Tamandua tetradactyla: one gene and its partners. The protein of the gene in region 1 interacts with the protein of each later gene in a pairwise test. Links are inferred from orthologs where the notes say so. Each region holds a gene or a part of one and is shown on either strand. Other genes may lie near its edges.

What was found. The genes of interacting proteins can lie anywhere in the genome.
Region 2: the proteins of MAP2K3 (region 1) and FGFR4 come close enough for resonance energy transfer, tested with the Homo sapiens proteins (2 studies listed by BioGRID). The link is inferred for Tamandua tetradactyla from reciprocal best matches to the Homo sapiens genes MAP2K3 and FGFR4.
Region 3: the proteins of MAP2K3 (region 1) and RASSF1 come close enough for resonance energy transfer, tested with the Homo sapiens proteins (2 studies listed by BioGRID). The link is inferred for Tamandua tetradactyla from reciprocal best matches to the Homo sapiens genes MAP2K3 and RASSF1.

What each region holds. Positions count from the first base shown.
Region 1 is NC_135332.1:158,034-161,775, forward strand, and holds the start of MAP2K3 (dual specificity mitogen-activated protein kinase kinase 3), read right to left. Parts: upstream 2,451-3,742; 5' UTR 2,368-2,450; coding exon 2,319-2,367; intron 1,385-2,318; coding exon of another isoform or gene 1,369-1,384; exon of another isoform or gene 1,176-1,368; intron 1-1,175. UniProt on the Homo sapiens protein: Dual specificity kinase. Is activated by cytokines and environmental stress in vivo. Catalyzes the concomitant phosphorylation of a threonine and a tyrosine residue in the MAP kinase p38.
Region 2 is NC_135346.1:58,739,727-58,743,468, reverse strand, and holds the start of FGFR4 (fibroblast growth factor receptor 4), read right to left. Parts: upstream 2,438-3,742; 5' UTR 2,276-2,437; intron 1-2,275. UniProt on the Homo sapiens protein: Tyrosine-protein kinase that acts as a cell-surface receptor for fibroblast growth factors and plays a role in the regulation of cell proliferation, differentiation and migration, and in regulation of lipid metabolism, bile acid biosynthesis, glucose uptake, vitamin D metabolism and phosphate homeostasis.
Region 3 is NC_135341.1:35,763,519-35,767,260, reverse strand, and holds the start of RASSF1 (ras association domain-containing protein 1), read right to left. Parts: upstream 2,431-3,742; 5' UTR 2,364-2,430; coding exon 2,114-2,363; intron 243-2,113; coding exon 127-242; intron 49-126; exon of another isoform or gene 1-48. Other genes in the region: ZMYND10 (zinc finger MYND domain-containing protein 10), read right to left, coding at 2,924-2,999, 3,078-3,203, 3,324-3,445, 3,542-3,667. UniProt on the Homo sapiens protein: Potential tumor suppressor. Required for death receptor-dependent apoptosis. Mediates activation of STK3/MST2 and STK4/MST1 during Fas-induced apoptosis by preventing their dephosphorylation.

The DNA of each region.
Region 1 (3,742 bases):
CAGTCTCAGGTAGGCAGTGGCAGCTGGACACGGGGGCTCCTGCCCTGTCAGAGAGGGAGTATGGGGTGTGCCTGGGAGCCTGGGCCCCAGTCAGTCCTCCAGGCCCAGGATGGGCACCAGGCAACGCAGAGGCGTGAGGGTGAAACACTTGGATAAGCTGGGGCCAAACACTCCCAGGTCTGCTGGAATTCCTCCGAGACGGTGAGCAGTAACCCCTGCGGGACCTGGATGGGATGGGGCGGGCATGGGGACTCCCCACTGGCCTCAGCTTTGCCTGTCAAATGGGTCGGGTTGCAGAGAGCTCGCAACGTGCCAACTGTGAAGGGCTGCGCACACAAGGCAGCTCCGTGTCTCACTGGTCTGGAGGAGACGCCCGCTGGCACAGGGGTGTGACCAGGGGAGGGCTCTCCCAGCAGGCTCAGCTCCAGCTGCCAGCACAGGAATGGGAGGTGGGGGCAGAGCTGGGAGAGTCCTCTGGAGACCCCTAACACCTCTGAGCCTCAGTCTCCTCTGTAAAATGGGGCTGGGTAGAGGGAATAAAGGAATAAAGGAGACAATGCACAGCACATAGGAAAAAGCTCTGAAGGCAGGAGCCTTATCATTTTTGGTGAGGGGGTGTTATGGCTCTCCTTCCCTGGACCCCAAGCAGGTTGGCAGGGTCCCTGGGCCTCAGGGAGATACTGGCCCTCCTCCCCACCCACCTCAAGCTGCAGATCAGCCAATACCCCAAGCTGCAAATTCATCCTGGCCCTCTCTACAGAGTGGCCCAGAGAGAGTAATGCCAGCCCTGAGGTTACACAGCACACGGGTCAAACAGTGCCCCCCCAGCAGTGCTGCCCCTCACACCCGTCACCCCTCTCCCTTCACAAGTCTGTAAGTGTAACTTTTATTTCAGCATGCAAGAATTAAAAAGGCCTCCAAATACGAACACCTCCACCAGAGAGGTGGCGGACCTGCCCTGGGGCGCACAGCACACCCATGACCCACCACACCAGTACCTAGCTCCAGAGTAGAGAAGCACCTTATTTACGACCCAGCGGTCTGTAAATACGAGGCCTGAGCGGCCGGCGCCCCGCCCCCGCCCCCGCGAGTGCCTCCCGGGTTACTCACCGCGGTTGGCCAATGGTCAGGGCTCCGGTGTCCGCTTACGTAAGACGCCAGAGGTACCGCCCTGTCCGTCCGCCACCGGCCCACACCCTCTGGGACCCCACGCGGCCTCCCGCCCGACCATGCCGTGAGGCCTGCCAGGCCGAAGCTCTTCCACAAGGACACCACCACACTCCAAGCCGCGGGCTCTGCCGAGCAGCTCATGGCAGCACCCATGTTTTTAAAAGCATTCCGTACCCGTGAGCTCACGTCACACTCGTGATGCGCACGCAAGAAGGTATGATTACGCCCGCTTTACAGATGGGGAAACTGAGGCCCAAGGGTGGTAAAGGGGCTTGCTGGGCCGAGGCGGCCCCTCCCCACAGCCGCGCCCGGTGTGGAGCCCTCTCATACCACCCCGCCTGCCCAGACTCTGACATGCCCAAAACATCCTTTCCTGTAACTGCGGGAAAAAAAATCCCCTTTCGCCTTCCAGGTTCCGTGCCCCCCCACCTCCCCATGACAAGTCCTGCCGCCGCCACAGCCGCCGGCTCACAGACCACTTCCAAAAACGCCCGGCGGGGACCCAGGACCGGGGGCGGCCGGACAGGCCGCAGTACGGACCCAAGCCCTGGACAGGGGTTGGAGGCCCTGGGCCCGCGAAGGACCGGGAAGAGAGTGCGCGGCCGGCGGGGGGACACCACCGTCTCCCGAAGGGACAGGCAAGCTTCCCGGCCGCGGCTGCAGAACGGAGCGCGGGGTCTGCGGAGACGCCCCACGCAGGGCAGCCGCAGATGCGGCAAAGTGGGCTCCAAACTGGTGGGCTGGGGCGAGCTGAGGCGCCCAGACCCCAGGACGGGGGAGTCCAGCGAGTTCCCCAGCAAGGGCGCAGACGAGGTAGGGGTCCGAGTTCGACTAGCCCGGAGACAGTCTGGGGCCCGCGGCGGGAGTCGACGGGGGTCACTGGGGGTCAGTGGGCCACCCGGCTCCTCCTGGCCCAGCCTGGGGGGCAGCGTGAGGCTCCCTCCCCACGCGCGCGGGGGCATCGAAACGAGGTGTCGGCCCGGGAGGCCTCGGCCAGGCAGCGGCCCCGCGGCCTCCGGGGGTCCGAGTGAGGTCGCAGGCTGGGCGGGGGCGGCCGGGGCGAGGCAGAGCAGGTCAGCCAGAGGGCAGGCCCGACCCCGGAAGGGCTCGCCGGCAGGCCCAGCCGGGCTCAAGCCGGGCGCTCGTACCTTTGGACGCGGGCACGCCGGCGGGGGTGCTGGAGGCGGGTGGCTCCATGGCGCGGGGAGCCGGCGGCGGGACTAAGCCAGGGGGCGGCGGGCTCGAGCGGCGCGGCGCGGGCTCATGGCTGCGGGCGAGCGGCCGGGCGCGGCGGCAGCGAGGCGGGGCGCGGGCAGCGCGGGAGTCAGACTGGGCAGCGCAGCGCGCCGGGCCCGACGGCGCCCGCCCCCGGCCCCGCCCCGCGCGCCGATTGGCCCGCCTGCCCCCGGGGCCCGCCCAGAAGCAGGACCCGCCCACTGCCCGTCAAGTCCGCCTCCCGCCGGGAAGCCCGGGCCCCTTCAGGCCCCGCCCCCGCCCGCATGCATCAGACCCCGCCCCGGGTCGGGGCCTCAGCGCGCGCCCCCATTTGCCCGCAACCCCAGTGGAGGCCGTACGTGGGCTGGCCCGGGGTGTGTGACCTGGAAAAGCTCTGAGAGGCCCCGGAGCATCGGGCGAGCCCCACAGGGACAGACGAAAGTGCCCCTGCGATGAACTCAGGTCAGACCCCGACTTCCCCCCTTCCCGGGGCGGGGGGCAAGACTGGGGACGACCCTGCGCCTCGGCCGCTGGCCAGGCCGGTCCACGTGCGCTGGCCGTGCTGTAGATGCCCGCGGGGTGGGTGCGGAGGCCCTGCCCGAGGTCTCACCCTGGCGTTCCCTGGACATTGGGTCAGCGCCGCTAAGACAGAGCATTCCCTCTGCGGCATTCCCCGAGCCTCTGTGCTCTGCAGCCCCTGGCCAGGCTGGAGTCGGGATCAATGACTCAGATGGAGAGTGAGGGGGGCTGGCTGTGGGCCCATCCGGGGCCTCCTTGGGGAGGGAGCAGATGCCATGACCCGTCGGTGGCACAGGGGCTGACCTCTGTAAAACAAGATGATCCCAGCGCCTTGCCCACACAGCTGTGAAAGAACCAGAGCAGATAAGGGGTGAGTGAGCCTTATAATTATCACCATTTGCTTCCTGCATCTCTTGCTCACCCTTTCCAGGCAGTGGGATGGAAAGTCATGAGATCTGGACTCAGACGGCACAGCTTCAAATCCCAAAGACCTTGGATGAGTCCCTGAGCAGGTCCGTGCCTCTGTTTACTTGTCTGTGCCATGGGGCGTTGAGGCCTTCCTGAAAGCATCCCATGCTTGGAAGTGCCTGCCTCAGAGGCCTGCTTGGCACGCACGCAGGCATGCACACACACACACATGCCCAGGAAATGTGAATTCATAACGACCTCCTACAGGAAGACACCCCGGCTTTACCACTCCTGGGTGTCCAAGTGGCCCAAAGCCCTCTGTCCCAAATGGACCAAGTGAGCCTGGCCTAGTCGTTTCACCTCATGGTCTTCTGTCCATCCCCTGGAAAATGGGCACCTGTGCGGCTCTCTTCCCACCAGGCATCAAACC
Region 2 (3,742 bases), on another chromosome or scaffold:
AAACTGGAGCCATCTCTGCTGACGCCAGAGCCCAAGGCCTCCCCACATCAGGTTGTGTAAGGTGGGCTGGGGCGGGTTTCCTGCACTCCTTGGGTCCTGCTGAGACTTTGGCATGAGTTCACAGAAAAGGGCAGTTCAGGGAGTCTTTCCTTGGAGGGAAGCAGAGAACGGAGACACATCCTCTGCTCACTCTCAGCACACATCATTTATTATTATTTTTTTTTCTGAATAAATGAATTTACTGCTGAAGAGCCCCAAAGAAAAAAAAACTGAAATGTATTTTCAGGCCAAGCTTCAGCATTTGGCAGTTATTCTGATCTGACCCCACTCCTTATGGCATGGCTGTCAGTTCCATGGCCAGCTTTGGATACTTCCAGTGGCAGCACATTCCACATTAAGCAGCAAGGTCTTCCTTATTCTGAACCAGAGTTGTCGACCTCCACCCCCACCCCCCACAATTCCAACCCCCCCATAATTCCATCTGAGGCAACACAGGGTTTTGTGAAGAATGCAGACTTGAGTGTCAAAAAGACAAGTTAAATACTGACTCCAATTTGCAAATCTCTGTCCCTTTCTGGGTCACTTTCCTTGCAGGACTGCTTTGAGGACAAAAAAAAAAAAAGATACTCTGTGTAGGGGGGCTGGTCCTGCAGAATGTCAAAATGTTCTCCTCCTTGCAGCCCCCCATGCCAGGTCTGCCCTCACTCAGCCAGTCACCTCCAGTTCTAAGGTTGTTCCTATCACGTGTGATGAACCCAATCCTTCCATCCAGGTTACTCTCCAACAAATGCCACTGAGGCAGATGTGTCCCCCACAAGGAACACTGGCCCAGATGGGGCAGGCGGATAGGCTGATCACCGTCCAGTGGCTGGGAACAACCCACTGGCTGTTACCGGGGGCCGGGTAACAACCAGGAACACCAGTGACTCTGGATCTACCTTGCTCAGAAAGCAAGTAGATCCATCACATCCTTTCTCCTCAGCTACTGTCCCTTGTCCAGCTCCCCATCTGAGGCAGTGGGCACTCAGCCTGTCCTGGTGAGAGCCATCATCTTCCCCCTTCAAACTGGTCCTTCCTTGGGTTGCCCTGACTATAAACTGCCCGATCATTAGAGTCAGCAGCTGGGGAATCACCCCCTTCAGCCCCTGTCCTCTGCCCTCCCTCCACCCTATTTCCAGAGGATCCCACATTCTGTCTGTTCTGCCTCTTCCATTCCTCTCCATTCCTTCCCACTCCCCTGCCCTGAACTGGGGCAGGTCACGGTCATCTCTCACGTGGGTCTTTACAAATATCTCCTCCCTGGGCTCTTCAGCCTCCACCCTCCACCAGGGCCTTAAAAAAATGCACGTCTGACATGTCACCCTCCAGCTTACAAGTCCTTAGTGGCTACCTGCGTCCTGCAGGATCAAGTCCAAACTGTTTATCCAGCACCCCAGACCTCCCTCCTCAACCTCACCAATCTCTCCGGTCTCACTGACTGCCCATTCAGGAGCACGGACATCACTGGCTTTCAAAACTGAACACATCTGCTCTCTTGCCCATACCTCTTCTCCACTTGGCTAGGGCTCAGATGCCACCGTCGCTGGGCTCCCTCCCCTCCTCTTTTCAGTGGCCCCCTGCTCCTCCCTTCACTCTGCACGGTGCGCAGCACTCTGCATCCAGAGCTCAGGCTGGGAGTGGGGTGGAGAGGCCCGGGGGTTTTATTTCCACCCTCAGTATCCCGACCTCAGAACCTCAGGGCATTACGGGTCAACCAAGGCCGCTGATAGCCCAATCCAGAGAGGGCAGCCGGCCCTTGGTTCCATCTGGCAGCCACGGGTTCTCCTCCTGCCTTCCGCACTCACGCGCTGGGGAACCCTAGGCAAGTGACTGCATCACTCGGAGCCTCAGCTTCTTCATCTCTAAGCCGGGCATGCAGACGGCCCAGTGGCCCTGGGACGAGTGTCCGTCTTCCCCCTCCCCCCCACTGAGCCACCTTAGGGGGAGGGATGGGCCGGCGCGTCCCGAGGGGGGAGTTGCGGAGAGGGTCGGCCCGCCCGCCCCCGCCCGGGTAGGCAATGAGTAACCAGCTCCGCGGCCAGGGTGCTCTTTGGACGGAGCGGGACAAAAGGCCCTGTGTGCGCCGCGGGTTACTGATTTACCTCCCCCTCCGCCACCCCGCCAAGCGGACGCCCAGGTCCGCCGCGCTGGGAGCCGGCAGCCCCCGGAGCCCCGCAGCCTCTCGCCCCCTGGCGGCGGGGAGCACAGCCGGGGCCCGCACCGGGTCCCAGCTCACCTCAAGCCTTCGTGGCTGCGCTCCCGTCACAGGGTCTCCGCTCACCTGGCGGCTCCACGGCCCCGCCCCCGCGCCCGGCCGGGCCCGCAGACAGCCCGGGCGCGTGTCCGCCCGGGGCGGGAGAGCCAGAAATGCACCCACCAGCACCGCGGGGCCAGGGGCGGCCCAGGGCCCCGCCCACTCCGGCCCCGCCCGCCCCCCGGCCCCTCCCCGCCTGGACCGGCTCTATCCTGACAGCGGCGTGAAAGCTGGCAGCTTAGCGCCCCACCCACAACAGGCCCCGCCCACCAAGGGCCCCGCCCCGCCTGGACCAGCGCTATCCTGACAGCGGCTTGGCCCAGGACAACCCAGAGCCCCGCCCACCTCGAGCCCCGCCCCGCCCACTGGGACTGGCGGAACCCGGGACAGGCTCGGCTGAATTCCGGGGTCCTTCCTGCTGCCAGCCCCCTCAGACTCCGCCTCTTTCGCAGCACTTCCAAGTTCTAGACCACTTACTGGTGGGTAGACCCCGTGCTCTTCACCCCACTAGGAACGAGATCCAGCCCGCCCGCCGTAAGCAGACCTTGGCCCAACCTGGCCCCTTTGTTCTTAGGCGCGTTCGCCCGCCCCCTCAAATCCATTCTCTGCGCAACTTCCAGAATATTTGAAACACAGATCAGACTACATCCACCAACCCATTTCCATTTTCCAGTAGCTGTGAGTAGCAACTGGAAAATTTAAAAATATAAACATTTTTGGCAAAACCTGGTCCTTGCTCATTTGCACGTGCCGTTCCCTCTTTCTGGAACGCTCTGTCCCTTCTTGGGCTGATTACATTTATTTTTAGGTCTTAGCTCAAAAAGCACTTCCTCAGAGAAGCCCTCTGGACTTGGCAGGGTCTCTCTGGCTTCTTTTCGGTTTGTGAGACTGGACCCGGTGGGCTCAAATCTCAGCTACCGCGCGCGCTTGGTGGGTTACTTTGTGTCTTCATCTTCTCGTCAGTAAGATGGGTATAATGATTATACCATCCTCAGGAGGTTTTTGCAAACAGTAGACGTATCAGGGTGAATAATCCTTCAGAACGCTCCCTGGCATATGGCATTTGCTTTGTAATGTTAGCTGTGATTATTTTGGACACGTTATTTCTCATCACTCTCGCCAGAATGGTCAACTGTGTAAATAGTTGCGTAATGCTAAGCTCCTAAAAGGCAGGAACTGAGCCTGCATTCCTTGCCATTTTATCTCAAGTACGTGGCCCGGTAGGTGCCTCACGAGAAGCTCCGCCCCCACCCAGCTCAGGTGGACCTCACCTGTAAGTTCTTCTCTCTTGACCATCTAGACTATGGTCTAGACCTATGACCCCTGCTCACTCCTCACCTGAAGTCCAAGCTCTGGGCTCCTCTGAAGGATCCTTGAGGAAAAAGGAAACCCTTCAGCTTGAGTCTCAGGCCCACCTCAGATTTTCCCTAGGGCTAGTGGAGACCTTGC
Region 3 (3,742 bases), on another chromosome or scaffold:
CCGCTGTTATTACGCTCATTGCGGGTAGCGTCCGGGCCGCAATTGTGAACGCTTGCACTGTGGCCCGTCCACGGTCCGCGCGCCTGTGTCCCCCCCGTATGCCCCCTGCCCCGCCCTTTCCCGTACCGCGCTCACCACGTTGGTGTCCCGCTCCAGCGCTGGCTCCCAGCCCATGTCCCGGGGTCCGCAGCAGTCCAGGCAGACGAGCGCGCGGCAACGGTAGTGGCAGGTGAACTTGCAGTCTGCGGAAAGGCCGGGCCGTAAGGCAGAGGGAGTCCCACTTTCACCTCGGAGAAGCGCCCAGGGGGACCCAAAGGAAGCCCCCGGGTGGAGGGCCCATTCCCCGGGCTCTGCTTGTTTGGTCTTCTCTCGGGTCTCATTTTCCACCCGCTGCCACACAGACTCTAATGTCAGCCTCTGGGTGTTTAGAAACTGGCAGGAAGGCCACTGGCGGTTAGGGACCTAGGTCTGCTCAATAGATGGCTCTCAAGCACCTAGCAATGAGATTACCCCTTCCATATTGTTTCCCCCTCGCTTACTTAAGGGAAAAACAGAAATCCCTAACCGCCTCTGGTCTTTTGTCTTCTGTCTCTACACCCCTCACTCCAAAACTTATCTCTATGCATCTGACTATTCACCTTCCCTCTTTTACCCACTCCAGGCTTGCCCCTCCCTCCACGGAATTGATTGCCCTGGCCAGGGTCCTTGGCAACTTGCGAGATTGAGTTTTCCACCCTTACCTCCTCGGTATTATTTAACTCTTGCTTTTCCTAGGTGCCCATACTCTCTTGGTTTTTCTCTCACCTCCACGACTCCTGTTCAGCTCTTTTATTGGTTCTGCCCCAACTTGCTGATCTCGTAATGGGGAGTGCCTGGGCTCAGTCCTGATGGCTGCCCTCCTCTGTCTACTCTCACTACCCCTATCTTATCCACTTGCTTTGCTTTCCAGATCTAAGGCTCCATCAGGCACTGACCTCTCTTCTCAGAGCAAATCTTGTGTATCAGCATATTCACTTGAATGTTTAAAAGACACTTCAGACCGAATATGGCCAAAGTTTTACTCACTTTTCCTCTACCTCACCTCTTCGATTCACTGGAGTTCCACATCTCAGTGGAAATTGCCACCATTCCTCCAGCAGTTTAAGGCAAACCCCCAACTCAATTCTTGATTTTTCCCTTGCCTCTATCTCAAAAACACACTCAAAACGATCCCATTTCTTGTTTCCATGGTCACTTTATTTCTCCTTGGGAATGGTGCAGCATTCATATTTTGTATTCAATCATAAGTTCTGTGCTTCTGTCACCTGAATACTGGGCAGTCTCCTGTATTGGACGGAGGATCTCCGTGCACACACAGGCCTGACACTATATCCCTAGGTTTCTGAATGGACTGGAGCAGTGATTCTCAACCCAGGCTGTACATTAGAATGATTTGGGGAGTTTCAAAAAGATTACTGATGCATAGGGCCTATCTCCAGCAACCCATCTGAGGTGGGATCCAGGCATAGGGAGTGGGAGGGCTGTAAAAGCGCCCAGGTGATTTAAATGGGAGAGCAACCTCTGCTTGCCGGTGATGGTGATTCACAGGATGACAGAGGCCTGGCTGGTGTGTCCCTGAATTCCATGTTGCAGCACCTGGTTCACTGGCCCCATGTGGGTGTTTGCTGAACAGACTTAAAATCCCTGCTTGCAGGGGGCCTGTCCAGCGTTCTCAACTTTCCCAGGTCCCCTCCCTTCATAACTTCCCTTCACCACAGGGGTATTCTTTAGTGGGATCTGGGTAAGTGAATCTTTGGGAAGGGGCAGGCCTGGGATATGGGTTCACAGCCTTTCTCAAGAAGGGCCAAGGCACTTTAAAGGGAAGATAAGAAACTTGAAATTAGCAGCTTGGAATTCAAAGGCAACTGCCCCTGACCAACCGCCCCAGATGCAGGTGGCGCATAGCAAGATGAACCATCTGTCAGCACTCTCTCCCGCGATGGGAGCCCAAGATAACGGCCCAGGTCCGTGGGGCCATTCCTGCCACCCCCCTCCACCTCGACTTAGTCCGGAGCGATGGCGCTCCCCCTCAGCGGCGGTTCTGTTCTCGTCTGCGCAATGGGCTGCTACTCACGGGCACACTGCAGGCCCTTGCGCACGACGCCCCAGATGAAGTCGCCGCAGAGATCGCACCAGGTGTGCGTGGCGGGCCCAGCCGGTTGGAAACGGTGGCCACGGCCAGGAGCCAGGTGCCGTTCGGGGTAGCGTGCAGTGCCTGGCGCAATGCGAAGCGCATTGGTGCGCGCCAGGCGGGTACGGCCGGGGCCGGGGCTGCGAGCGGGTGTCAACTCCTGTAGCTCGATGAGCTCGGGCTCGGCCGACATGGTCCGCCTGGCCTGGCCAGGGTTGCGCGCTCAAGCAAGCGCCGGGCGGGCGGGTCCCGACTGCGACACCGCCCCCTTAGATTCAGGCAGGGCGGAGCTCGGTGAGAGCCAAGGAGAGCTGTGCAACGGAAACTTGGGTGCGGGGTTCCGTCAGCCCGCAGGCGGAGCCGAGAGGAGTTGGGGTGGGGAGACTGGCAAAATCCCCGCATTCCCTTCCTTGCCTCCCTCATCCACATGAACACACCCCCCCTCCACCCCCTCTGCCCCCGACTGCGACAGAGCACACTGAGACAAGCGTGTTTCTAGAGGCCTGCTTTACTCTGCTAGAGGAAGAGGGTCTCCACATCCTGCCCAGTCTTCCTGCCCCAGCTTTCTGAGGCAGTGTCCCAGGGTGGGGCAGGAAGTGGGGAGCGCTTTGCTTTGGCAGGGGATGGTCAGCTGCTCTACCCCACCCAATGGCGCTACCCACACAGGAGGCCAGGCTGAAGTTTCTAGGTTGAGGAGCGCACTCTGGGTGGGCTCCTCTGGCAGAGTTGGTCGGCCCTCCACGGCCACAACTTTCATTTGACTCTATCACCCTGGGCTGCCAGGACACAGGCCTTTCCATGCTTCTCCCAGTGTTTGACTTGACATTCCCTGCAGACAGATGGACCAGTGAGGAGGGCAGTGTTTGGAGGTGGGGCTCAGGGTTCCAGGATCCTAGGGTACCCTCACCTGCAGCAATACCATTCGTTCTGGCATCTGGAGCAACGCTTAGAGGCCTCTGCGCTGCAGTAGGCACAGCGGGGCCGCTCTGGGGCCACTGCTTCCAGCACATCCAGTCGGTAGGTCTCAGCCCACCTGGGGAAGGGTCAGGAAGACATGACTAGGCCTGGCAGATGGGCACATAGGGAGCCCCCCATTCCCAGGCCATGCCTCCTACTTCTTTACCACCCCTTCTATCAGCTCAGCAGGGCTTACCTCCGTGCCTGTAGCCGCAGGTCCTGCTCTGAGGCACTGAACATATGTCGCAACTGGTGCTTGGCAATGGCTTGCCACTTGCCTCTGTTCTCTCGCTCCAGCTGCTCCCAAATTTCTGGGATCTGGGGAGTGGAGTGGGTTGGGGGGAGAAGTAGAGAGTAGCAGGGAGGAGCAAAGGCAAAGAGGACAGTGGTCCCAAGTAATATCCCAGTGCCTACCTGTTCCAACACCAGGTCCTTCTTGGGGGCCTCGGGTTCAGCCAGGGCCAGGTGGGTCAGAAAATGCTGCAGATCTGCCAGGTTGGGCAGCTGGTCAAGCAGTGTGTCAGTGAGGAAGGCCTGAAGCTGCAAGGGTGTTGGTGGAGGCTGTGTTAGGCACATACTGGCCAAAGGGCCAAGGAGCAGGAGGATCTGGGCTGG